7 linked regions of the Daphnia pulex genome follow. The protein of the gene in region 2 purifies or fractionates together with the protein of the main gene of each other region. This does not show direct contact. Links are inferred from orthologs where the notes say so. Each region holds a gene or a part of one and is shown on either strand. Other genes may lie near its edges. The genes, in order: U4/U6 small nuclear ribonucleoprotein Prp3-like, CD2 antigen cytoplasmic tail-binding protein 2 homolog, probable small nuclear ribonucleoprotein E, small nuclear ribonucleoprotein Sm D1-like, U4/U6.U5 tri-snRNP-associated protein 1-like, U4/U6.U5 tri-snRNP-associated protein 2-like and small nuclear ribonucleoprotein F.

What was found.
Region 1: the proteins of CD2 antigen cytoplasmic tail-binding protein 2 homolog (region 2) and U4/U6 small nuclear ribonucleoprotein Prp3-like purify together in Homo sapiens (affinity purification with mass spectrometry; 3 studies listed by BioGRID and IntAct, with this or other methods). This does not show direct contact. The link is inferred for Daphnia pulex from reciprocal best matches to the Homo sapiens genes CD2BP2 and PRPF3.
Region 3: the proteins of CD2 antigen cytoplasmic tail-binding protein 2 homolog (region 2) and probable small nuclear ribonucleoprotein E purify together in Homo sapiens (affinity purification with mass spectrometry; 3 studies listed by BioGRID and IntAct, counting the BioPlex papers as one, with this or other methods). This does not show direct contact. The link is inferred for Daphnia pulex from reciprocal best matches to the Homo sapiens genes CD2BP2 and SNRPE.
Region 4: the proteins of CD2 antigen cytoplasmic tail-binding protein 2 homolog (region 2) and small nuclear ribonucleoprotein Sm D1-like purify together in Homo sapiens (affinity purification with mass spectrometry; 3 studies listed by BioGRID and IntAct, counting the BioPlex papers as one, with this or other methods). This does not show direct contact. The link is inferred for Daphnia pulex from reciprocal best matches to the Homo sapiens genes CD2BP2 and SNRPD1.
Region 5: the proteins of CD2 antigen cytoplasmic tail-binding protein 2 homolog (region 2) and U4/U6.U5 tri-snRNP-associated protein 1-like purify together in Homo sapiens (affinity purification with mass spectrometry; 4 studies listed by BioGRID and IntAct, with this or other methods). This does not show direct contact. The link is inferred for Daphnia pulex from reciprocal best matches to the Homo sapiens genes CD2BP2 and SART1.
Region 6: the proteins of CD2 antigen cytoplasmic tail-binding protein 2 homolog (region 2) and U4/U6.U5 tri-snRNP-associated protein 2-like purify together in Homo sapiens (affinity purification with mass spectrometry; 5 studies listed by BioGRID and IntAct, with this or other methods). This does not show direct contact. The link is inferred for Daphnia pulex from reciprocal best matches to the Homo sapiens genes CD2BP2 and USP39.
Region 7: the proteins of CD2 antigen cytoplasmic tail-binding protein 2 homolog (region 2) and small nuclear ribonucleoprotein F purify together in Homo sapiens (affinity purification with mass spectrometry; 4 studies listed by BioGRID and IntAct, counting the BioPlex papers as one, with this or other methods). This does not show direct contact. The link is inferred for Daphnia pulex from reciprocal best matches to the Homo sapiens genes CD2BP2 and SNRPF.

Annotation. Positions count from the first base shown.
Region 1 is NC_060024.1:10,558,570-10,562,576, reverse strand, and holds U4/U6 small nuclear ribonucleoprotein Prp3-like, read left to right. Parts: upstream 1-1,207; 5' UTR 1,208-1,226; exon of another isoform or gene 1,227-1,272; intron 1,273-1,388; 5' UTR 1,389-1,471; intron 1,472-1,654; 5' UTR 1,655-1,691; coding exon 1,692-3,458; 3' UTR 3,459-3,563; downstream 3,564-4,007. Other genes in the region: zinc transporter ZIP3-like, read right to left, coding at 3,663-3,772, 3,904-4,007. UniProt on the Homo sapiens protein: Plays a role in pre-mRNA splicing as component of the U4/U6-U5 tri-snRNP complex that is involved in spliceosome assembly, and as component of the precatalytic spliceosome (spliceosome B complex).
Region 2 is NC_060022.1:6,690,472-6,693,664, forward strand, and holds CD2 antigen cytoplasmic tail-binding protein 2 homolog, read right to left. Parts: upstream 1,788-3,193; 5' UTR 1,706-1,787; coding exon 1,558-1,705; intron 1,494-1,557; coding exon 700-1,493; intron 635-699; coding exon 533-634; 3' UTR 501-532; downstream 1-500. Other genes in the region: 28S ribosomal protein S29, mitochondrial-like, read right to left, coding at 1,851-2,051, 2,111-2,203, 2,267-2,408, 2,463-2,623, 2,725-2,861, 2,932-3,024, 3,098-3,193. UniProt on the Homo sapiens protein: Involved in pre-mRNA splicing as component of the U5 snRNP complex that is involved in spliceosome assembly.
Region 3 is NC_060026.1:14,103,919-14,106,258, forward strand, and holds probable small nuclear ribonucleoprotein E, read right to left. Parts: upstream 1,189-2,340; 5' UTR 1,064-1,188; coding exon 1,016-1,063; intron 936-1,015; coding exon 767-935; intron 708-766; coding exon 640-707; 3' UTR 501-639; downstream 1-500. Other genes in the region: serine-rich adhesin for platelets-like, read left to right, coding at 1-105. UniProt on the Homo sapiens protein: Plays a role in pre-mRNA splicing as a core component of the spliceosomal U1, U2, U4 and U5 small nuclear ribonucleoproteins (snRNPs), the building blocks of the spliceosome.
Region 4 is NC_060020.1:8,496,612-8,499,464, forward strand, and holds small nuclear ribonucleoprotein Sm D1-like, read right to left. Parts: upstream 1,532-2,853; 5' UTR 1,383-1,531; coding exon 1,369-1,382; intron 1,182-1,368; coding exon 1,105-1,181; intron 942-1,104; coding exon 741-941; intron 683-740; coding exon 597-682; 3' UTR 501-596; downstream 1-500. Other genes in the region: GPALPP motifs-containing protein 1-like, read left to right, coding at 1,964-2,437, 2,525-2,695, 2,764-2,853. UniProt on the Homo sapiens protein: Plays a role in pre-mRNA splicing as a core component of the spliceosomal U1, U2, U4 and U5 small nuclear ribonucleoproteins (snRNPs), the building blocks of the spliceosome.
Region 5 is NC_060026.1:10,447,417-10,451,656, forward strand, and holds the start of U4/U6.U5 tri-snRNP-associated protein 1-like, read left to right. Parts: upstream 1-1,440; 5' UTR 1,441-1,466; intron 1,467-1,567; 5' UTR 1,568-1,769; intron 1,770-1,850; exon of another isoform or gene 1,851-1,873; 5' UTR 1,874-1,886; coding exon 1,887-2,052; intron 2,053-2,107; coding exon 2,108-2,278; intron 2,279-2,335; coding exon 2,336-2,661; intron 2,662-2,725; coding exon 2,726-2,987; intron 2,988-3,045; coding exon 3,046-3,345; intron 3,346-3,410; coding exon 3,411-3,694; intron 3,695-3,767; coding exon 3,768-3,930; intron 3,931-4,004; coding exon 4,005-4,179; intron 4,180-4,240. UniProt on the Homo sapiens protein: Plays a role in mRNA splicing as a component of the U4/U6-U5 tri-snRNP, one of the building blocks of the spliceosome. May also bind to DNA.
Region 6 is NC_060025.1:1,778,991-1,783,171, reverse strand, and holds U4/U6.U5 tri-snRNP-associated protein 2-like, read right to left. Parts: upstream 2,695-4,181; 5' UTR 2,564-2,694; coding exon 2,488-2,563; intron 2,408-2,487; coding exon 2,261-2,407; intron 2,201-2,260; coding exon 1,911-2,200; intron 1,854-1,910; coding exon 1,628-1,853; intron 1,560-1,627; coding exon 1,273-1,559; intron 1,205-1,272; coding exon 1,014-1,204; intron 954-1,013; coding exon 818-953; intron 754-817; coding exon 667-753; intron 606-666; coding exon 558-605; 3' UTR 501-557; downstream 1-500. Other genes in the region: uncharacterized protein LOC124202306, read left to right, coding at 3,500-3,551, 3,642-3,772, 3,847-3,926, 3,997-4,144.
Region 7 is NC_060019.1:9,593,662-9,596,393, reverse strand, and holds small nuclear ribonucleoprotein F, read right to left. Parts: upstream 1,352-2,732; 5' UTR 1,211-1,351; coding exon 1,205-1,210; intron 1,126-1,204; coding exon 997-1,125; intron 878-996; coding exon 746-877; 3' UTR 737-745; exon of another isoform or gene 695-736; intron 683-694; 3' UTR 501-682; downstream 1-500. Other genes in the region: phospholipid-transporting ATPase VD-like, read left to right, coding at 2,404-2,707. UniProt on the Homo sapiens protein: Plays a role in pre-mRNA splicing as a core component of the spliceosomal U1, U2, U4 and U5 small nuclear ribonucleoproteins (snRNPs), the building blocks of the spliceosome.

The sequences.
Region 1 (4,007 bases), on a different chromosome or scaffold from region 2:
AAATTCTTAGATGAATAGCAAATCTTTTAAATTGCAAAAACCAATTTTTTTTTTTTTTACAACAAGCTACATCAAAGATTTCAATTTTTTATGAGAAACTCAAAATATGTTTCTTGGGTTATGATTTTGGCATTTGCAATTATTGCTACTAATCATTCAGTTTCTTCTCGACGTACACGTAATCCTTTTTGGTTTCGAATACCCTCAGAGCTCCCCGATTCCAACCAACTAATTTTTTTTTTTCCGTGAGCAACCTCATCCTTTCCTTTTTCCCCTCCCTCTTGTAATACACAAAATAGCTGTGCGTCGAATAAACATGATTCTCATTTTCTTCCCCTTTCTATTTGTAGCGTACACAGCAAGGTTATTGCTCTCTCTGGATGGGATTGTTGTGGGATTTGGATTGCATTGGATTTGGATTTCATTGGAATGGATTTGGATGGATGCATTGTGGATTGATAGGTGACAGGATCTGGAGGATATGCTGGAAACAGCAACCGCTTCTCCTTTGTCTACAACCGTCGTGGTGAATCGCTGTGGACTTGCCTTGTCAGGACCCGTTTATTTTAAAGAGATCTGTTGGACTCCGGCACTTTGGAATTGAGCCCGACCTAAGACAAGAGTTAACTTAGGATTGCTTACCCTTTGATTTTCAGGCACTTTTTTCATCATCATACAGAGAAAGAAGAAACCGACGGATGACGACAAAATGGAAATAATACATGCCTTGCAAATGGTGATATTTCCTTGGAGTACAAAGAAATTCCTTCGATGTTTACCGATACTTCTGTTTTCGGCACATTGGAAACAGTATTACCATTTTAATGACAATTTTTTTATGTATGATACGATTTAATACAACCAGTGAAATGCTTTTGAAAAAAAAATTATGACCAAAATTATTCTGTTCTCTAGACTAAAACAAAAATTTGATGACGTGTTTAAAATACAAAGTTGCTTTTCGTCTTAAACACAGAAAGAACAATTAAAACAATTCGCATTACGATTACTCACCATAGAAACTTAACGTAGAAACTGTTTCAGAGAAAAAAAATAGGTTTTTGTTTAGTTTTGATTTCTTTCTAAATTTATATCTCCTTGTCCTTGGAACCAAAAATGAGAAACAAAAATGCTTTGAACTTGAGCGCTTGCTTCTTCTTTTTCTTTTTACGAAAGTCCCAGTACTTCCTTAAGATTCCTCTAGATGGCGTCTTCGCGTTGCTTGGGTAACCAAAAACGTATAAAAACGTACAAATTTTCCCCCAAAATAGTGTAATTACACATTCACTTTGAGCATACTCAAAAAAACATATAGTTTGAAATTATATATTTGTACAGCGTTTTGAGTTTATCATCTGAATTTCTACGATTTTTCTGTGCATCAATAGGCTCTTATCGGTTGTTAACCGGTCTCTAAACAGAGCAAGTTTAGACCTGCAGTTACGAACTACAGTGGAAGATTGAAGCATTGGTAAGAATAATTTTGTTTTTTCTTCAATAAACCGATGATTTTATTTCACAATACATTCGTCATTTGTCATAGATTAAACATTGTTAGAAGATATTTTCAGTACGTTGAAAATTGTCACTATAATAACATTGTAGCAGAATGTTTCTCTTCAGTAAACAACAACTTTTCTTTCTTTTTTTTTAGGCATCTGTGATATAGGTTTTTTGGGGTATTTCCAATCATGGCTACTACAAGCATAAAAAGACCTAAAGAAGAAGATTCACTCGATGGACCTGGTCGAGAAGCAAAAAAGTTAAAATCACGATTCCAGGATGACAGCAATGGAGATGGAAAGAGTGACCAGGATACTACTGAACAACTCTCTTCTTCTCAGATTAGAGAAATGATGATGAATGCTCAAAAGATGATTGAGGAAAGGAAACGATCTCTCAATCAACCGCCAGCTCTTCTCAAGACTACCCCAGTGCTCTCATCACTTCCAACACCTGTAGCTCCTAAAGCCGTTCCCCCATCTTCAATGGATGAGCGTGCCAGAAAGATTGCTGAACTACAGGCTCAAATTCAGTCAAAACTAGCCACCTCCACTTTAGCCACATTGAACTTGAGTCTTCCTAAAACAGCCAGTGTCCCTGCATCAACAGGGGAAGGGTCTAATAATGAGCCGAAACCTGGCCCACTTATTCTCAACGCTGATGGAAGGACAGTTGATGCGACTGGTAAAGAGATTGCCTTGGCCCAATACACACCAACTCTCAAGGCAAACATTCGTGCCAAAAAACGCGAGGTGCTCAAGACTCACATGGGCAAAGGATCTCAACAACAAAGCGAGGAAGCGGGAAATTTGACGGAAAGTCGCTTCTTCGATCCACGTGTTGCAGCCAAATCCTCCGTGAGAACACGCAGAACCTTCCACTTTCACGAGCAGGGCAAATTTCAGCAAGTGGCATCTCGAATGCGAATGAAGGCTCAGTTAGACAAATTGCAAAGCGAAATCTCTCAAATTGCCCGTAAGACTGGCATCAATTCAGTCACTGCACTTGCTCTAGTTGCCCCACGAGTTGGCGATCGTCAGGAGGAGGAGGACATTGATTTGGAATGGTGGGACTCGGTCATCTTGCAAACACGAAGCTACGAAGGCGAAGACGGACAGCCCAATTTACGCCAGGAGACGATTACCAATTTAATCGAACATCCCATCCAAATGCGTGCTCCCACCGACCCGCTGGCCTTGCCCTATTTGCCCGTCTTTCTCACCGAGAAAGAGCGCAAGAAGTTGCGCCGCACCACTCGACGTGAAAATTGGAAGGAGAAACAAGAAAATATCCGTTTGGGACTGGAACCGCCACCTCAAGCAAAAGTTCGAATTTCTAATTTGATGCGCGTGTTGGGCAACGAAGCCATCCAGGATCCAACCAAAATTGAAGCTCACGTCCGCGAGCAAATGGCCAAACGACTTCAAAATCACCAGGAGGCAAATGCCTCTCGAAAGTTGACGGCTGACCAGCGACGCGAAAAGAAGGAGAAAAAGCTCCAAGAAGACACGACAACGAGCGGTGTGCATGTGGCGATTTACCGGATCAAGGATTTGTCCAATTTATCCAAGAAATTCAAAATCGAGACCAATGCCAAGCAGCTTTACATGACGGGATGCGCAGTCATTTTCAAGGACGTTAACGTCGTTATAGTCGAAGGAGGCCCTAAACAGCAGAAGAAGTACAAACGCTTGATGCTCAATCGCATTCGGTGGGAAGAGGACGCCGTCAAGGTTAGCAAACACGACACTGGTTCATCCTCCCAGCCCGAAACGCGGAATTCCTGCCAGCTCGTTTGGGAAGGCACGACCAAACAACGCAATTTTGGTGACCTCATCTTCAAACTTTGCCCATCGGAGGTTGTGGCTCGAGAACATTTTCGCAAACACGGCGTCGAACACTACTGGGACCTGTCTTATTCCACAGCAGTGCTGGAAGAAACTGAAGAAAAGTGATCGGTTTCATTCTGCCATCAACTTTAACTCTTTATTTTTTTCTTTTCATTTTTGAACCAAACGTTCATCTTTGAATATTACCATCAATAAAAAGATTTGTCTTTATTTCTTTTTTTTTTCTTTTTTTGTGTACAAAAACGGGGAATGTTATACAGGTCTTCGCAGGAACATGACAGAATATATCCTTTGACGCTGGGCAGCTTTTCAGGCACTCGGTGAATAGAAGGTGTAACGTGGTGTCGTGACGGGTTGCAAAACAAACGATAATCCGACAGTTGTTTGTGTTTGGTGATCTGTTGTTGGTTCTCCGTGACCTATGACGCAGCATAAGGAAAAAGGTGGTATTTATTAGACTAGTTCGTGATTGTCATTTCTAACAGATTTTTTAATAGTTTCCTTTTCAGCGAAATTGAATTTAGAATTTTTTTAAAAGGAGGAAACTAACCGCCCAAGGCTTCAAGTGATGACAGGAGGACAAAGCCGACGAAAACGGATAAAAGCTTAATTAATCCATTGCCGGATTTCCTTCGCTCGCGTTCCAACACTTCG
Region 2 (3,193 bases):
CATAATCTAACGGGGGAAATTTAATGGAAATTTGTTTGTTTATTTCCGAAGGAAAGCGTCGACTTTCAATTCCCATGCAACTATACGTATATAAAGTACTCTAAAATGGTTTCTCTTGTTTTTGAATAACTAACTATACACGTTATATGTAATCAATTAGACGGCTATGTTTGGTTCACAGATGGTTCACATTATTTGTTAACGTTACGTTATCGAAAATTAAAGCTTTCGATTTTTGCTTGTATTTTACGCTGAATCGTGGTGAACCGGTAGATCTTGGTATTAAATCAATATACATGATACATGAATAGTGATGATAACCCGTGCCACTAACACATTGCAACCCGGTAGTACCGTAAACCGGTAGGGCACCGTTTAATTGTTAAAATGAAGATGTTTACTGAAGTAACTAAACTAAAGAATAAAAATGTCTGATATCTTGATCAAGTTGCTGAAAAATAATTAATTAAATAGCGTCTCATGCTCTCATCATTAGGTAATAAAAGTGAAAGGACATGTATTATTATACGAATCAAAGGTATAGATCAAAATCGATTCGCCGTGAGGTATAGAAATCTCCTGGTTGTCCGACACGGCGAACCCAAACACCCGATTCAAAGTATCCTTGGTTTACCTATAAATATGTGGTATATTAGAACAATAATTAGCCAAAGTAACACTAATAATCATATAACAAACCCAGTCAAGCATCTCTGATGTGCTATGCGGTCCGTGTATTTCTGCATCTTCTTCTTGTTTCCATTTGAATTCCCATTGTACAGTTTCTGGTTTTACTTCGTCTTCTTTAGCTTGACCTTCGCCTTCATCAAACCGAACCTTCTTGGTAATGGGTTCTCCTTGGACTGACTCCGATTCCCGTTTATTGGAGTCAGCTTTATTTTTTTCATCGAACATATCTCCAAACATATCGAGATCATTTGTCGATTGCGTCACAGGTTCTTCTGATTTTTTAATCTTGAAACGTATCCCTTCAAAAGTTTCTTGATAAACATCCATGTTTCCCATATTAGAAAGAATGCTATTCGCATGTTCAGTTAATTTGGCTATGTTTTCCTTATTCAATTCATTTGTTTGGTGGTCTCCTTCGTCTTGCTGCTTTTTCTTTTTCTTCCATCGCTCAGATGCTGTTTGAACTTTACCACCTCCTAATCTTTTCAAAGCTTTTAGAACTGTTTCACCAGGTAAAAGTATGGCCAGCATTTCTTTATATACAGGAATGGGATCAAATTTCTTCAAGTAATCATTTGTATCCATACTTTCTTCATCTGATGGATTTTTGTTGGAAGCTGCTTGAGAATTCACTTTAACCCAATCTATGTTGTCCAGCCAATGGTCTTTCACTTCATCTTTCTCCCGCTTTCCAAAAATGTATGTCCCTTCTTTATCGAAGTGCCCTTCTTCCATTTCTTCTTTCATGTTAAATGGTGTAATCTGAACTTCTCCATCAAATTCTTGGGTAGGGTCCTCTTGGCCTGTTGGGACAGTAGAAATGAATTGTGGATAATTTCTTCGAAACTGATATTTTATTTCTATTACCTTCTATATCATCTTCTCGCATCATCTCATACTTTTCAGTTTTTTCATCATCTTCACCACTGTCATCTCCGTCAGAAAAATCTCCTTGGTCGACATTTCCTGTTTCTAACGTGTCTTCTTCTAATTCCTGGTGTTTCCTTTTCGGCATTTTCTTTGATAAAACTCGAATTGATTATTCTAGGATAAAGGAGACAAACAGATTTAAAGAACGCGTCTTCTCGATGTATTTTTAAATAAATGATTTCGGACTAAGAATTATTTGACTTTTATTTTTATTGTTAATAATCATCCAATCAATATGGAGCAACAAGTCTCATTAAACTGTATGGATGCTTGCCACTAGTAAAACTCAGTTCAGCTCGTCCATTGTCCGTGCGGGCTTTCGGTTGCTGAAGCCAATTTCGTTCAATGTAATAGTCGATTTGCGAACGAAATTCTTTGTCATTATAGTTCTGTACTTCGATCGGGACGAAAGGATCTAGATGTTCGAAACCCTAGATGGATGGCAACGGAGTTGTTTAATTTGTTGTATGAATACCATAAATTGAAATACTGTTTTTCCAAGAAGATATCTAGGCAGAGGTGATTCACGCAGTTCCGGAGGATGAGCCGATGGATCAACTGATACTACGACGGCTCCGTTATTCTAAATTCAACCCATATTTTGAAATCAAATAACATTCCAATAATCACTATTTATGTTTTATACCCAATCATTTCTTGTAAGAGACAATAATGCATCCGTTAGCAAAAAGTCTGAGGGTAAAACCATGGATTTGTCTTCCCTGATCACGTTCGATTTCCGTGAAAAGAAAGAATTAAATCCATCGATAACCACGAGAACGCGGCATCTGCGTAAGATAACCGTGGTTTAATATGATTCAAAATTGCATTATGAAACGTACTGTTTGCTTGAAGCGGCTTTTTTAAGTTCATCTAACAAAGCAACAATACAACCAGTTGCATATTTGGCCCTGTTGAGACCCAAATCTATCAATTCACTCAGAGGAGATCCTTCAGCAGTCACTTCTCGTTTACTCCAAGTGTAGGTGTTACTTGTCTTCAGCTGTTATTTTAAGTTCAGAAAACCCATAATGAGTACACATAGAAAAGCATTGGCTTAAAACTACTGAATACAAAAAGAACATATAAATATGTTTATATCACCTCTAATTTATCCAACAGATGTCCATTCTGTGTGCTAAAATGCTTTAACCATTCTACTGCTTCAATTGGTTGATCATACTTATTTGCATGAACTGATGAAGGAGTGGCAACCTTCACGTATTGAAACCATTTGGGAACTAAAAATCAGTTGAATAGGATGGTATTATTAGCACAAAATATTTAGTAATAATCTTCCTTAGTTCTTACCCCACGGAACATGAACTAAAACAAATCCAGCACTGCTACCATAATGGACAATATGAGCTAGAGAAAGAGATTTTCCAACTCCAGTCTTTCCATCTGCAATAAATGGTGTAATACTTATAAAGGGTTTGTTAACATTATTAAAGGCATGAAAAAAAAGGTAACTTACACAGCACATATCTAAGAACTGGAGCATCAAAATTTGTTTTGTTCAGATAATGTATAAGCTCAATTGCAGGCTTTCTTACCATAATACACAATCCAT
Region 3 (2,340 bases), on a different chromosome or scaffold from region 2:
GATTCGTCGTCCAACCCGTCACCCTCGCCTTCGGGCTGCGGTTCTAGACACAATAGCAATTCCAGTTTGAATTGCAACAGCTTCTCTGTTATCGAAGTGTCATAATAAATTGATAATTATGTATGTGTAATTATTTTAAACACTACTTTATTTTTAGGGTCTGAAATTTTGCTAGTTTTCACTCTTTGCTATGTTGTACACCCCCCACCTAACAGGCTGATATCATTGATACTTTTATTGATTTTATACTTGTACCTTCTATTTTAAGTGGTTACACAATGTTGTGCAATAGGTTATTTTTATTATTGTAGTCCACATGAAATGACTTGTTTTCAAAACATGATTATTCTTGTCATTGTGTAAATTATTCTCTTGCCGGAGACATTTTTCATGTGTAAAAGTGGCTAGGCTTCATCAAAATAAATATTGGAAAATATTACTAGGGAAATTTATATAAAACTAAAAAATAATAAATAGATGTTGAGAATGAAATATTCAAGTGTGGTTGTAGCATCATGTTTTTCTTATCAGTCAGCACATCAAGATTGGATGTACACAAAATCAGTTCCCCGTTAATCAAAGGTAATACACGACAGAACACAAATTGGGAATGCATTCTGACCAATTAATATAGGAAGATTAGTCGTCTCCACTTCCTGCAGCATTTTGGATTAGAGTAATGTTGTCACCTTTCAGCAACACCCGTCCTAAAATAAAACAGCATTTAGAAGACAGAATAATTGTGAGTAAATGAAAACGTCATTACCAATCTGTTTTCTGACATTTGTTTTGACGTAGACTTCCTCTGCATCATCGAGAACAATGTTCATGTACTCATCAAATCCAACAATGTGTCCTTCCATGTGCATGTTGATGTTCTCATAAAGCCAAATGTCTACTCTTGATCTTGTCTGAAGGTATCTGAAAATCAAGTTCTGGAAAAAGACATTTTTGACACACGTGCCGGTTAATAAATCTTCGTGCTGAAATCGAAGTGATAGTGGTGAAAACTTACGATGGGTTGAACCATCACTTTCTGGACTTTAGGTGCTCGGGCTGCCATTTATCTTGAATTGATATTTAATTGATTCCACACGGGAAAATTATCAAATTTCTAAATGAGAGTTGTTTGAGTTTACACTTTTTGTTGAAGAAGAAACGAACACAGACGCTCAATTGCCAACAACGTTGCCAGATATTTATTTCCTCGTAGGGATTTTCCGATATTTTTCAAAAAGACAAGGGCGGCAAAGGCAAGCAGGCAAAGCAGCCAAGCAGCCAAGCCAGAGTAACAGAATATTACTTTTTTTATGCTGGCATCCCGTTCCGGTTTGCGAGGTTCCCGTAGGAAATAATATCAATTAAAAATTTAAAAAAGCAAAAGTAAAGTAAACATGAAATTCAAAATTAATTACATGAATCTATCGGTATGGTGAATGGGAGGGGGGACGGGCTTCGCCTGCCACCCCCGCCCCCCCCCTCTTGCTTCGTTAATCGCTTAAATTACTGTTATACTTTTACATTAAATAGTATCAATCAAACAAGGCCTATCGGAACATCAAAAAATATCTGTGAATCATAAGGGGTGCGACTTAGGTGTGGCGGAGGCTTCGCCCCGCCACCCCACGTCGCACTCTCTTTTTAGCTTAAGTAACAGCAAAATTTATTATTTTCATAAGCAATATGAAATAAAAAATAATTAGTTATAGTTACAGATAAATCTGTAAACAGTTAGAACAAACCAAACCACAACACCCACCCTCTCTTACGCTTCGTTTAAGTTATTTCGATATTTTTACTTGAAATCGTATACTAATAAAAAATAATACATATCGAAATCAATTAAAACATATCGAAACATTCAAAAGTTATGTCAAACATTCAAACATTGGGGTGTGACTTAGGTGTGTGCTGTGGCGGAGGCTCTAGGCCGCCTAGAGCCTAGATAGATGCCAGTTAACTTTTACTTTTGGTCGCTAGAGCCTAGATGCCAGTTTCTACGCGCGCAGTTCAAACTGTTTTTCATTTTCGAGGCGCGCAGTTCAAACCGTTTTCCAATTTCTACGCGCGCAGTTCAAAATTCCAAAAAGCCATCTATTGGCGAAATTTGAACTAATCCTCCCGTATGCCAAAAAACCTGTAGAATTAATATATTTTTCTATTACTCTGCTGACTGGGCCTGTGGGCTGTGGCCTTGTGGCGTGTGGCCGTTCTGCGCCGATCTGCCGTTCCTTTCCTTACAACAACTGATGCTTGCTGCTTGGAAAAATTCACAGAATCACAGCTAATACTGCTAATACTTTTCATTTAATGTCAACTTTTGGGCTGTTCTCGCCTTGG
Region 4 (2,853 bases), on a different chromosome or scaffold from region 2:
TAGAAAATTAGGAGCAGATATCGCCGAAAGCCTCTTAAACGCAAATACCTCTTAAACTGAAGTTACAAAAGCAAATAAAACTTGTAGCCACGACTGTTCTTAAACATGTCAAGTTTTCCTTAAATTTGCGACATTCTTAATTTAAATTAAAGTTTAATGGTTTAGTCACAAAAAATTGAATAGTTTTAGTCTAAATTTAATAGAAAAGTAATTTAACTTTCATTTCCATCAAACTTTCATTACTTATTACACCGCTCTTTACACTTGTTTTTTCCCCGACTCCTCTGACAAAATGGCAAGAATAGTCAATATTCTTGAAATAAGCAAGGAAACGTTATGCGATGTCCGCTTATAAATCAAGAAAAGGAATTGACGGTTCTCTACAAATTATCTATGCTTACATGGGAGTCAATTGGAATTGATAAATAATTCTCATACAGACTCAACTGTGGGGAAAAAAGTGTTTGTTTTAAGGACTTTTCAACTGACCAAAAAACATATAAGACAATGACAATTTGTAATGCAAATGAAAACTGATTCCACATTTGCTGAAAAGAACGAAAAAAAAAATGGAAAATCGTTGGAAATTACAAATTTCAGCGTCGAGGACCAGTAGCACCACGTCCACGTCCTCGTCCACGTCCTCCTCTGACAGCTCCGCGTCCACGGCCTCTTCCACGAGCTAAAAAAAGAAAAGAAAATGAAAAGAGGAACACAGTGATAAGGGGAAAAAAGTTTACCTCTACCGCTAGCATCCTTCTTCTTGGCCTTGGCTTTCGGAGAATCATCCAATAGTAAGGTTTCAAGAGGAAGTGAATCAGGTAAAATGTAGTACCGGATGTTGTTTCCTCTAATACTCAAAGTTTCAAGCTGAACAGGGTCTCTGTTTTTAACTGTCATTTTCACAGCTTTTAAATGAGTGTTCATAGCAACATCAACTCCTATAAAACATAATCAAATGAATGAATTTAGTAATATACAAAACGGAAAACTTTTCTTCTAAAATGTCACTTATGTGTTTGCAATTTCACTAAGTTTTCGAAGAAAGTATTTAAGGATTGCAGTAAAATAAAAAATCGAATAAAGACAACAAAATTGAATTACCTGTTATTGTTCCATGAACCTGAGTACCATTTTTTAATTCAATAATGACTGTTTCGTGGCTCAGTTTCATCAAAAACCTAAGGATTATACAAAATAATGGTATTTATTTCAATTGAAAGCAGTGAACTATTTAAGTTGTGAAATATAGAAACGGCATAGTTTCCCAGACGCATCCAACAACCGGCTTAATACCCAGACCAAACCGATTTTTGTGGCTACTTTCTGTACGAATTTACTTGACAATGAACATATTCCGAAACTTACCTCACTAATTTCATTTTTGATAAACTTGTTGTTTGATGGCTGTAATAAAGTAAATCACCATATACGACTTATTGAATGTTTTAATCCTTAGTTTAGTGAAACGCACGAGGTACGCTAGTCAAAAACCAAAACTGCTTGTTGGAAGCATAACTTATACTAAAAAGGCCCTGTGACATTTCATATTTCATAACGGTCGATGACTATGATTTTTGTACTTGTAACGTAGCGCCATCTACGCAAATATTTTGAATTTTGTTATTAGACAAGGTTTATTTTTGCATATTTTAATCAAAAATTAACTAATAATAATTTTTTTTTATTATTTTAAATTTATTTATCAAAATAAATTCATAAATCCAGAAGCATTATCGAAGCGTATCATAGAACCGCATAGAACACAAGTGGCATGACATGAGTGACAATAAAACGTACTCCAAAACAGAAAACACATGAGACAGGCCTGCATACTATAACAGCATTTCCAGTAAGCTAAACATTGGGTTTCGGTTTCACCTATTTTCGATTTTTTAAAAATAATTCTTTGTCGGTAACGCATTCTCAATTTCCCGCGTGGTTTTAATTTTTCCCTCTCAAAATGTCTCGAATCGGACCAACATTACCTCCTCATCTTCAAACAGCGTATGAAAATGATGATTCAGATTCTGATGAAGGTGATCTCTACGGACCAGCACTTCCCGCTCATTTAAAATCACAGAAAGTGTCCAGCAAGTTAGTGCAATCAAATATCTCCAATGACAGAGGATGCTCTGTTAATCATGAAGTTGACTCTTCATCAGATGATGAAGTTATTGGACCACTGCCAGCTGATTGTATGGATGCTGAACATAGTTCATCAGTTGACATTGAACAGCGGGCTCTTAAGATGAAGAGGAAGTTGCTTGGTGTGGATGATGATGAAGCCAACAAGCAACCAAAAAGAGAAGATTGGATGATTGAGCTTCCAGAACTGAAAAGGAAAAACTTTGGCCTGGGACCTCGTGTCTTTAATCGTTCTGACAAACCTGAGGTTGTAGGGAGAGATCAATGGACTTCAACACCAACTTCCAAGGTTCAGATAGTACAATAGATACACATATAATGAAATTTTCTTAGCTGGTCATTGCTAATTTCTATAATTTAATTAATATAATTTTAGCAGCCTAGTACATCCAAAGAAAAAGATGAGGATTTTGAAGCTGAAATGAGGAAACAATACTTGGAACAAAAAAGGAATAAGAAGCTTGAGAAAATTGTGGCCATGCATGATAAATCCAAGAAGAGGTCAGAGAGTTTGTTGAAGACACATCAAAAGGAAATGAAAAGCAAGGTAATCCTACATTTTTATTTTTGCTGTTAAAGTTGGGGTAATTTGAAGTAAGATTTTTGTTTCTATAGAAAGACAACTCGTCCGGTCCTAAAGAAAGAAAACCTTTTGATCGTGATGAAGATTTAAAACTGAATCAACTCGATAATGCAAAGCGGAAA
Region 5 (4,240 bases), on a different chromosome or scaffold from region 2:
TTTGCCAAATCATAGAATCCTCTCACAATAAACCTTCTTCACTAGTAGCCGTCACAAATCCGCGAGTGAACTCATTGATCATTTTCAGTCAAACAGTTTCAACGGGTATGGCGTCCCCGAATTATTTAGGCAAATCAAGAATGACAATGTTACCCTCTGGTTCAGTAACAAATTTCATAGCAGCTTTGCTGCGGTTAACCGGGAACCTATAAACAGTTGATAACAATATTCGGTAACATACACACACAAGAAATTTAATTTGTAATGTGAAAATAAGATTACCAGTCATGTACTACACCAATATGTCTAGTTGATTTCATCTTGCAAAAAGGAAGAATATGTTCTTTGAGGATGTTGTTGTATGTTCTTGAATCGAACTTGCCAGTCACTCTGCACAGAGAAATATTTGGATGGAACGAAGATATACCACCAAAAAACAACACAGTATTACCAGTTTATTTCTCCGAACCAAAATGCAACTCTATCTTGCTGTTTTTGTCGTAACTGGAATTAGGCAACTTCGAACTGGAATTGAGCAATATTCCTAACGATTCAACAAGCGATTCGCCACTCAAAGAGGCCGTTTTTGATTTAGCGGAAATCGTCGCTAGGGGTTCTAAAAATTAACAAATAGATGGGTTTTGTGCAAAATTTTTCGCTAAGTCGATTGCTGAAAACCGCAATCGCCTAGCTTTTGTAATTTGGGAGATTTTTTTAAAAAAACTGAGAGGGGGTAGCCGAAATTTGGAATTTTTTTCGTTTTTTGTGCAGCAGTTTTCTCGTCAACTGCTGCACCTGGAAATATTCGAATTGTTTCATAATGATGGGATAGCCCACCTCTTCAAACAATTTTCATGTTTTTTCGATGCTCGGCTCAGAAGCCGAGATATTAACGATTGAAATTTTTGAAAAAATTTCTAAAAATTTCTTCGTTTTTCGGCCATGCCGGGCTTCATCCTATAAGCCACCTAGCGCTGCGAAAATCGAGAGGGGGTGGTCACCCCAACAGACCCTATATTCAGGGTAAACGTGGTCCGATTTGGAAACTGGAATGAGCGCTCTAGTGAGTGTGTCAGCTACTACGCTTAGCTACTTTTGAGAGCCTAGATGGCTCTGTTTCCAGTTTCTACTTCACAATTCTGACAAGCTCCGCCCTAAAATGTCTGAAAATCGGGGATACGTTTACCCTAAAACCGGGATAGGGAAGCCAACACAGCCGAGAACCGACCAGGCATCTATTGCTCTGGTTCTGCTATCGGCCGCAGTGGTGCGCATCGGCGTAAACTGCGCAGGACTTTTTGTTCGACTACTACTTTTTCATTGGAATAACATCTATAGTCTTTGAGGCGATCAGCCTACCTCACTAGCGAACCTGGTGCGGAATCTTGGAACCCTTAGTATAAACAAAAATCGACAACGACATTGTTCGTTTTGGACTTTTGGTTTTGCCGCACAAGTCTTCACATGTAAAACAAATAGTTAAAAACTATACTGGCCTTAATGTTTTCATTATGTTTTTCCTTTATTGATTTACGGATAAATTTATCTTCTGTTTTCTTTTTTTAAGTTTTATTCAATAGGAGGATTAACACGCCATCTGTTGCGGAATCAATGGATTTGTATTTGTCCCCGCTTTCCAATCCCGCATTTAGCAATTTACCAACACCCAACGGCATCAAAATAAATATTGCAAAAGCTGAAGTCTGCTTCTCAGTTCTCAAGTTCTGAAGTAAAATTGTTGCAAGATCATTAAGTGAATACAGATTCTGGTACCCTACTTTTATTGTTTGATATTTTAAGGAATTCTATTGAAAAAAATTTTATGTTTAAAGAAATCAAAACTTCCCACCTAAGTTAAACTACTTTCTTTCAGTTCTTAAGGAGACATGGACCGAAAAGAAAGTCGCGATCATAATAATTTTCGAAAAAGAAGACATCGTTCCCCATCTAGGTCTCCGTCAAGATCACATTCAAAAAGTTATGCCTCCGTCAAATCCAAACAAATAAAGGAAGATATAAGTCTCAACATTCAGAGCGAAGAACTGTTGACAGGTATGTATTCAAAATTATGTTTATTAGTAACTAGTAACCAATAATTTTTTTTAAGGAAAAGGGAATGATGAAAGACCAGTTGCTAATTCAACCAATGATACTTCCATTTCGATTGAGGAAACCAACAGAATAAGAGCTGAACTTGGTTTGAAGCCATTGGAGATTGGAGGAGAAAATTCAAATGTTGAAGCCAGTACTGAGAAAAAGGATGTTCATGTCCCAGCAGGTAATGATTTCATTTAAATGTCTTTACTTGTACAATTTAAATGTGGTATTTCTCTAGAGAACCTCCGTGAAAAGAAAGCCACAGAAGAGTTGAGACGAAAACTAGATGAAAGACGAGAAAAGAGGCAAATAGAACAAAAGCTTGCACAAGTGCGCACTCTTGCTCATACAACAGCTGATGATGATGACAATGCTGTTAGCTGGGTTGAAAAATCAAGAAGGATTCAGAAAGAAAAGGAAGAAGCTAATAAAAGAGCAAAAATGCTTGAAGAAATGGATGAAGCATTTGGTGTAGGAGATATGGTAACTACTGAACTGATTAAACAAAAAGCAAAAGCATACACAAGTAGAGACTTACGAGGAATAAAAGTAGAACATGACCGGGTAAGTCACCGACAACGTATACTTTTATTTGAATACCTGTGTTGATGTTGCTTTATTTTGTTAGGAAATGATAGCTGAAGGGAAAGAAGTAGTATTGACTCTTAAAGATCAAAACATCTTGCAAGAGGAAGGGGATGTTTTGGTGAATGTCAACCTTGTTGATATAGAACGCTACAAAAAGAACAATGAAATCAAGAAACAGAGACCGGGATATCAGCCCTATGAAGAGGAAGAAGTTGATGAATTGGGCCTTCCCAAACCAAAGCTCTTGCTTGCTAAATATGACACAGAAATAGAAGGAGAAAAACATGATAGCTTTGTCCTAGGTAAAATATTAGATTTGTTTTGTTGATCTTTACAAAAATATTTATGTTAAAATTCTAGGTAAAATTGGAGATGAAGAAGCCAAAATGAAAGCCCAAAAGTTGATGAAAGACAAACTCAAAATGCAACAGAAGAAAATTGAATCACTGGAATCGCGACCGCTCCAAATTGCATCTGAATATTATACAGCAGAAGAAATGGTTTCCTTCAAAAAAGTTAAACGTCGCGTCAAAAAGGTTCGATCCAAAGGCGACGGCATTTTAAAAGCTGACGATCTTATTCAAGAAACGCAAGAAACAACTTCGTCAGACTTGGGATCGAGATCTCGAAAGAAGAGAATGGATGAAGAGGTCACAGAAGGTATTTTAGTTTGACTAGTATATTGTTTTATTATTACTTATTATGTCTTGTTTATCCAACGCCAGATTTAAGCGGATTCAAGATTACTGTAGACGAATCCCAAAAAGAAATACGTCAGGCACTATTAAAAGCTAATAAACTAAAAGAAAGGAAGGCTGATCAGTGGGACATGAACATGATTACGCGGTCATTAAAACGCGAGCCTTTGGAAGAAACGGAAGGTATGGAAGAGGATCCTCTGAAGAGTAGTATCATACTGAATGCCACAGCAGAATTCTGTCGTACTCTTGGTGACATACCAACCTATGGTATGGCAGGCAATCGTGATGAAGACGAAGATGAGTTAATGGTAATTCATTGCATGAATGTTTTTTTTTTTTTGGTTTTGACTTTAATTAATTGCGTTTCTGTTTTGGCAATAGGATTTCGAGCGACAGTTGGCAGAAGAACGCAGAAGAAATCAAGAAAAAGAAGAGCGAAAAAGGGAGGCTGAGCGTCTTCAAGAACGCGGTGGATGGAATGTTCTGGAACGTGAAAACGATCAAGGTTCCGACGACAGCATGGATGTCGATCGTAATGAAAAGGGTATGTATACTGTGTTCTCGTCACTTTTATTGTTGTCAGTGTTTGCATTTTTTTCTTTTCTCTCTGTAAAATAGATAACGCTACTGTTATCCTGGACGAGGAACCTGATGTCGGCTCGGGAATGGCTGCAGCTTTGAAATTGGCTATGAGCAAAGGCTATCTGGAGAAAGAAGAGAAGAAGAGGATAGTTATTTCTAAGTCCGCCCAAGAGCTGCAGGCGCAGCGCTACACCATAGAAGATAAAGCAGCGTACAATTATTTTGTGTTTTGTTTATACGATATTCAGTTATTCTTATTTTATTTTGTTATT
Region 6 (4,181 bases), on a different chromosome or scaffold from region 2:
CGTTTTCCAATTTTTTGTAGCATAAAATAAAAATCACCCCACCGCTGCTCACCGCAAAAAAATAAGCTATTTGAATTCGATCGAATGCTGGTCTGATTTTTGAAGAAACTTTGTGCGAGTGTATGTAAGGGAAAAAGAGTAGCAAACGAGCGGAATTCATGAAGGACAATTTGATTGCGCGGTGTGAATCTAATTTTTCACTACGACCCTTTATTTTTTCATCCCTTCTGTCCTCTTTGGGGGTTGTCTCTTACGTGTTTGTTTCAAGATTTCTTTATTTTGCTCTGCATTCTCAAACCCACTTCTTCTCTCTTAATTAAACAAATCACTCCTTTTTCCCTGTTTTGCCACACAACATCGTTTGGAGCAAGATAAATGAAACAAAAAAAAACGAAATAAGTTGTGTATTATTGCATCTTGTGTAATCAAACATGGTTCGTTTTCCTCGCGACGTGGTGTGTTAATTTTATTCAATCCAATAAGAAGTCTCACATTAATGCTTTAGTACGAATTTGAATATTTATTTCAACTCGGGTTTTACACTTTTGACAGAAATTTCAGTTGGACATTTCAACGTCGCTTCTTTCCGTAGATTGTTCCCATATCTAAAATGTTTGAACATTTTAAATGGGACATAATAACGTTTTATTGTATTTTTTTTTCTACCTGAATGTAAGCTTCTGTGAGAGTGATCATCTGCGGAAGAATTTCTGTCACGTGCAGATCTTGCATTTCAAACCATTTTCCTGTCGCCTAATAGAAGCAATTGACTCGTGAAGTTTATTGTGATTATTGGTCAACAATAAAACGAATTTACCTTATGAAGTATGTGAACACGATAAGTTCCCTTGGTTGGTTCTCCATCATGTACAATATTGGCTAACAGATCGTATGTGGTACATCCGTGTTTGGCGCGAACATCTGCACCTAGAATATCGCCAAAATCCACACCCCTAAAAGCACATCTCAATTTTGTAACAGTCAACAAAAAATGGTGTGGTAATTTTATTTACCTGATGGGGAAGTTTATGATGGTGGGATTCTTTTCTATGAAAAACGTGTTCTTCGTGAATCTCTTGATGTTGAGAATAATGTAACGTGGCAGTTTTGTCAATTCGAATCTCTTCAAAAAATTTTCCTTGTAGGTCTTGTATTCCTTTTGCTGGACTCCATTGAATTGAGACAGCAATGCAAACAGAGATACCTGAAAAATCAACAAAAGACTCGATCTAGCTTTTAATTAATGCTACAAGCTAATTGATTTTGGCAAACCTGTGGAATGATGTTTTCGCGAAATTCATCTTTGAACAGAGGAGGGGGAGGCAAGTCGGCTGCCAGAAAAAGGAAAGGCGAATCGACAAATGTTTCGACGTATTCGGCAGTCAACATCAGTGCATCCTTTTCTGTATCAGTGGCATCGATGGGTGGGATTCGCTGAGAATGAATTTTCATTGCTCCCAAAAAAGATTTGTAGATGATTGAAGAAGTTGGCTTCTTGGTACCGTTTAATGCCAGATGCAACGCGTTTAAAAACCACGAAAGAAATTCCACTGGATCACCTGAAATATGGAAAATGAAGAATTAGCAAGGTAAAATTTTAATAACAATTCTCATAATTTAATATTACCCTGGCTTGTAATTTGGAATTTCTTTTTACTGCACAGAACGACAGCCTGGAGCATCTCGTGGGGGGAAACGTGAGCCTTAAAGTTGCGTGGATTCCAAAGCTTACGAATCAATTCACCAAAACGCTGAACTAAGATGACGTTATTGTCTCCAGGAGGACGCTTGATACCAATGTAGTTCTCTTCCCTGAGAAAGTAATCGCGTAGTGGAACAACATGAGATAAAGCCTAATACAAAAGTAAGTAAAGTTTATTATTTTAATTTATAGTTTACTACTTCATTACCTGTAGGACTACATTGCAGTAATCATTAGCTTTGATGTTATTGAGTCCAACTACTCCAGGACGGTAAAGAGTACCATCACAAGACCTAGATACTTTATCAATGACATCCAACACTGCAATATTTGCTTTTTTGAATGTTGGATTCAAGACATATTTGATATCATCGAGTGATGAATCAATGATTTCATAGTTGTCTGGCAGACAATAGAATCTTAGGGTGTGAAGGTTCAAAAAAACATGATGTCCCTCTCCCACACTGTGAAGATATGCATGTGTGCTGGGGCCTCTTCCTAGAATTCATTTGAAACAATTTAAAATATGTGAATATTGCTGTTTAACTTCAAATTTACCTTGAAAGTATTTCCCACACACCAAACATGCATAGACATTAATCCTTGTGAGCGAGACTGAACAGAGTTTTTCAAAATCAAAATCCAAAACTGTCCTGTTTATTGTGTCCAAATAAGGACACAAACGAGATTTGGCAATTGGTTCTCCTAGAATTTTTATCAGTAAAAGTTGTTACACGGATTGCACTATATTTATTATTTGGTTTTGTGGATAGTGACAACAATACTTGTTTTCACGACGGGTTCGTCTTCATCATCGAAATCTTCATGTTTGCGCTTTATATCACTCTTTTCCGTCCCCATTTTTGAAAAGATATTTACCCCAAGAGCCAAAATTGACAGCTTTTCTTATTGTTTAAGAATTAAGGAAACTCGAATGCAGAGTTACGGAAAGGATAGCAGACACATAAAACGAATGCAACGCGTTAATGCCGGTAAACGAAAAAGTAGAATTATTGTCCTGTAGATGGCGTGAACTACTTCATTCAAATCTTGTAACGCGATTCAAAATTTCGTTTGATTATCATGGTCATGCGTCAAGTAAATAATTATTTGTACAAGATGGGGCTACTATTTTTTATCGTTTGAATTACTATCCTGATAACTAACTAAAAAACCCTTATTTTGTGTCTGGTAACGCTGTTGGGTCTTGGGTGTTGTGTAATCATCTCAAAGTTTAGAGTTTGTCTCGAATTTGTTTGGATGTATTATCAGAACTCTGTTTACCTTGATTAACTTATGTCAACAGAAGTCTATATTTTGAAAGCGATATTCATGGTTCAGATAATGATGTTCAGCATAGTGTAGATTTTTTCTGCCTGGATACAAATTGCTTACTTGAACCATAAACCCGGAAACAAGCAATTTCCGGGTTTCTAAAAATCAACTAAGCAATTGGTGAATTAGAATTTCGTAATTCATTTTCAATAGAATGTTTTTTTTTGTATAAGTTCGTCCTTCGAAGGTGTACAAAAATATAATCATTGGGTAATTTTGTTTGCCCTTTGATTTTAGCACGCAATACGGATTATCAGATTAGTCAAATCAAGTTCGATGTCACAATCATAATCTTTGAAAAACCCATTTATATCACTTTCTAATCAAGAAGTGATCGATTGCCCAATCATTGATAGACCAATAATTTTTGTATAAATTGGTCGTGTGCAGTTTGCATTTTCTGTTTCTCAAAAGGACACGGTTTCTTTCTTTAACTTTAAACTGAAATTGTGTTCGTTCGTCATGAAAGTGGTTGGCATTTTCGCTTTGCTCTGCCTTTTTACCCTTTCCAATGGTTTGCTCATATTTGTTACTCGTTCCTTGATTGGGTTGATTCTAAATTTCTAACGACCATAATTTTTAATTTTGTCATTACTTTTGGTAGGTGCTGGAATTCGACGCCCCGTTTCTGGAAAAGGCGAGCCGCTTCTTCGTCTTTCCTTTCCGGCCTCTGAACATTTGATGAATCGTGCTCGAAGTGGGGAAGCAGGAAATGCCAATGAATACATGGACGAGGTATTTGTAATATAATTCAATTTCGTTCTTTGATTTACTGAATTTTGTCTTTTTAAAAACATTTTATATTTTAGGTTTTGGCTTTAGTTCGCGAGCAGATAGTCCTGCTAGGATACGACCGTATTCAGCTTCCAGATGGCGATTTTAGCTTTACGTATGACGGGAAAAATTGACAATCAACTTTATTTTTAGTAAATATGAATTTTCTGAAATTTCCTAAATAGATGGGATGCTTACCCCGGCGTAAATGGCGGTGTCTTTTTGCACGATGGCTTGGCTACTGGTTTGGAAACAATTCACCGTGTTGGGGACGCTACTCTTAGCAACACTGACACTGTCATTTTCTTTGAATCTGATTGCGGCATCAACAATGTAGGTTTCATTTATTTCCCGCTCGTAACAGAAATAA
Region 7 (2,732 bases), on a different chromosome or scaffold from region 2:
TAAATGTGATCCTGACAGTAACGTTTTAATCTTCGTTGTCTAGTTAGGAACGTACATTTGTACAATGTTTATTATTTGTTTCAAACCGTAGTAATTCATCTCGGAGTTCAACAGCCTATAACTCCCCTAACGTTCAAACGACAGTGATAACTTGCGCATGCTTACCGTCCTATAGTGTTAACAGCCGTGTTACATGCAGGCCAATTGAAACGTATTGAACAATTAATATTCATAAGCAATTAGGTATTCTTATGACATCAGCTGGTACCAGCGTGAGCCAATCGGAAAAGGTGTTTCCGGATTTGTTTGCCTTTTTGATTTATACCTTACAAAATATATTTACGAACAAGTTGGTGTAAGTGGAAAAGAAATGTGACTTGAGTTTTACGAGCATGCGGGACTGCGGGCTGCCTACTAACTTCATTCATAAGGTAGCTTAACCATTTTCCATTTAGACAAAGCCTTTATTTTCCGACTAAATGGAAAAAATCGCCGGAACGTAAGAAATTCCAGTATACTTAACATTAAATCACCAATACGGTAGACAACGGTTCTGTGTTTGGAATTTGGATACTGAAAAGCTGTTTTTTTACTTGTTTGTCCTTCGTTGTCTGTGGGAATCTTGTAATGTATACACCAGAACATATTTTTTAGGGTTTCCAGGTTTCCTATACAATAACTTCTATGAGATAGATAGGAAATGACATTATGTATTAAAGGATGAAAAATTCAATACAAACAGCAATCAATCTCTCATTTCTCCCTCCTCATCATCTTCTTCCACTCCACGTATGTAAAGTACATTGTTGCACCTGACAAGAACTTCACCCAAGTTTCCAGTACAGCTTCCATCAATATATTCTTCTGTGTTTGCCAACTGTGATAATATAAGAAGAATTATTGCCATTGTTCATATATGCACACTGTTTCGTGCAACAGCATGTTTTCATTTTTTTACTGATGAAAATGCACTACATGGTATAATTATTACAGTACCTGAAGATTCATGTATCCATCAACTGAAACGAGATAACCTTTGTATTCATGGCCCCACTTCAGTTTTACCATAATCGGTTTGCCGGTTAAGGCATTGAGAAAGGGTTTGGGATTGATGGGCATGGGTGCCTGAAAATATGAAATATAACATGTTAGTAAATGGTCGGCTAAAAAGGACCACCCAACAAGATTTAGGTTTTGAACTTACTGCCATGATTTGTATTTGTTTTAGTCAACGATTTTACAAAATTTGATTGAATGTTTGACAAGCGAGTCAAGCCGCGTTATTTCAGTTTACACGTTCTGTAACGTAAAGATCAGAAGTAAGGGTTGCCAAGTCGTCTTATTAAGTACATCAAATTTTGAGAAAGTTTTTCCATTTTGTAGGAAAGAAATTTACATATTTAAACCTAATAACTAGTGAACTAAAATTACCTTATAAAATAGGATTATTTAAATAATTTTTTGATGTAATGTAATGAGATATCCATCGTAGAGCAACGATCCCGGATCTCTGGTTCCGGACCAAAAACTCACGTCACCTATTCTGTTTTCAATCATAATAGCTGGAAAAATTTACAACCAAAGGAGAATTTTTTTTTATGTATCGTTATTAAGTGATTTTGTTTAATAAGTGACTCGTGGTCGTGGATATGAAAAGTCTTTTTAACAAATTGGCAAGAACAGAGAAGCTTCACAACCAGAATTAGCGCTCTCTAAAAAGTAATAAAAGAGGGTTTTGCGTTTCGCGGAATTAAAAAGATAGGAATTTATCACAGTTTGTCTTGATACAGAAAGACTTTTTAGGTTCAATTTTACATTTTGGAAGCTTTTAAACGGTCAACAAACCGGTTTCTTATTTCACTCCGGTGTCCATTCCGCGCAATTTCCTTTATTATCGGTTACCGAGTGTAAAATCTGGCAGTAAAGCTTGTACGGTGTATGCAGCAGAGGCTGAAAGCAGTGCACAGCTGGAATTTGCCGTTATATACGTGGACACACAACAAGTTGCTCAGTTGCTGACACTAAACTCTATCTTACCATTCTTTCATCTTTTTGCACTTTTTTTAAAGTTGACGTCACTTTCCAACCGATTGTTTTTCTTCCATTTCCTCACTGGGTTCCATCATTGGACCAAATAAACGAACAATCGTTCCACTGTTAAGACGATTTGTTGATTTTAGTCTGCCATGGACATTTTTTGAAAACAAAAGCTGACTTGTCTTTTTCAGCAATATTGAAATAAGATGTTTGGTGAGTAAATAACTCTCCCTTTTCCATTGCTCAGAAGTTTGTGTTGATTTTGAGTTGGTTGTTGGTAGTCACAAGCTTGACAGTTAGTTTCGTGAATGGTTAAAGAAATTCAATTGTAATTGAATTTGGTACTCTCTCATTTTCAGGGACGGTATGGATTTTGATTCACCGGGTACCACCTACATTTTTCCTGATGTGATGCAACCCCCAATAGAGCTTGAAACTGTCAACCCCCTGCCAAGCAGGGGTTGGCCGGGTGGAGTTAAGGGACATGTTCGCTCTGCAAGTCATGGTGTCATCGGAGTTTCCTTATTGAATCCAACATTACATCCACAGCCCTCTTCGCCATCCCCTGCAATTGGATTATTGGAGGCAGCTTCAGGATTGAATAAAGGGGAAAGATCTTCACAAGATGCTTCTTCTGCCAATCCAACAGTTTTAAAACTTCCTTATACAGGTATTTTTAAGGTTTCAGCACTCTT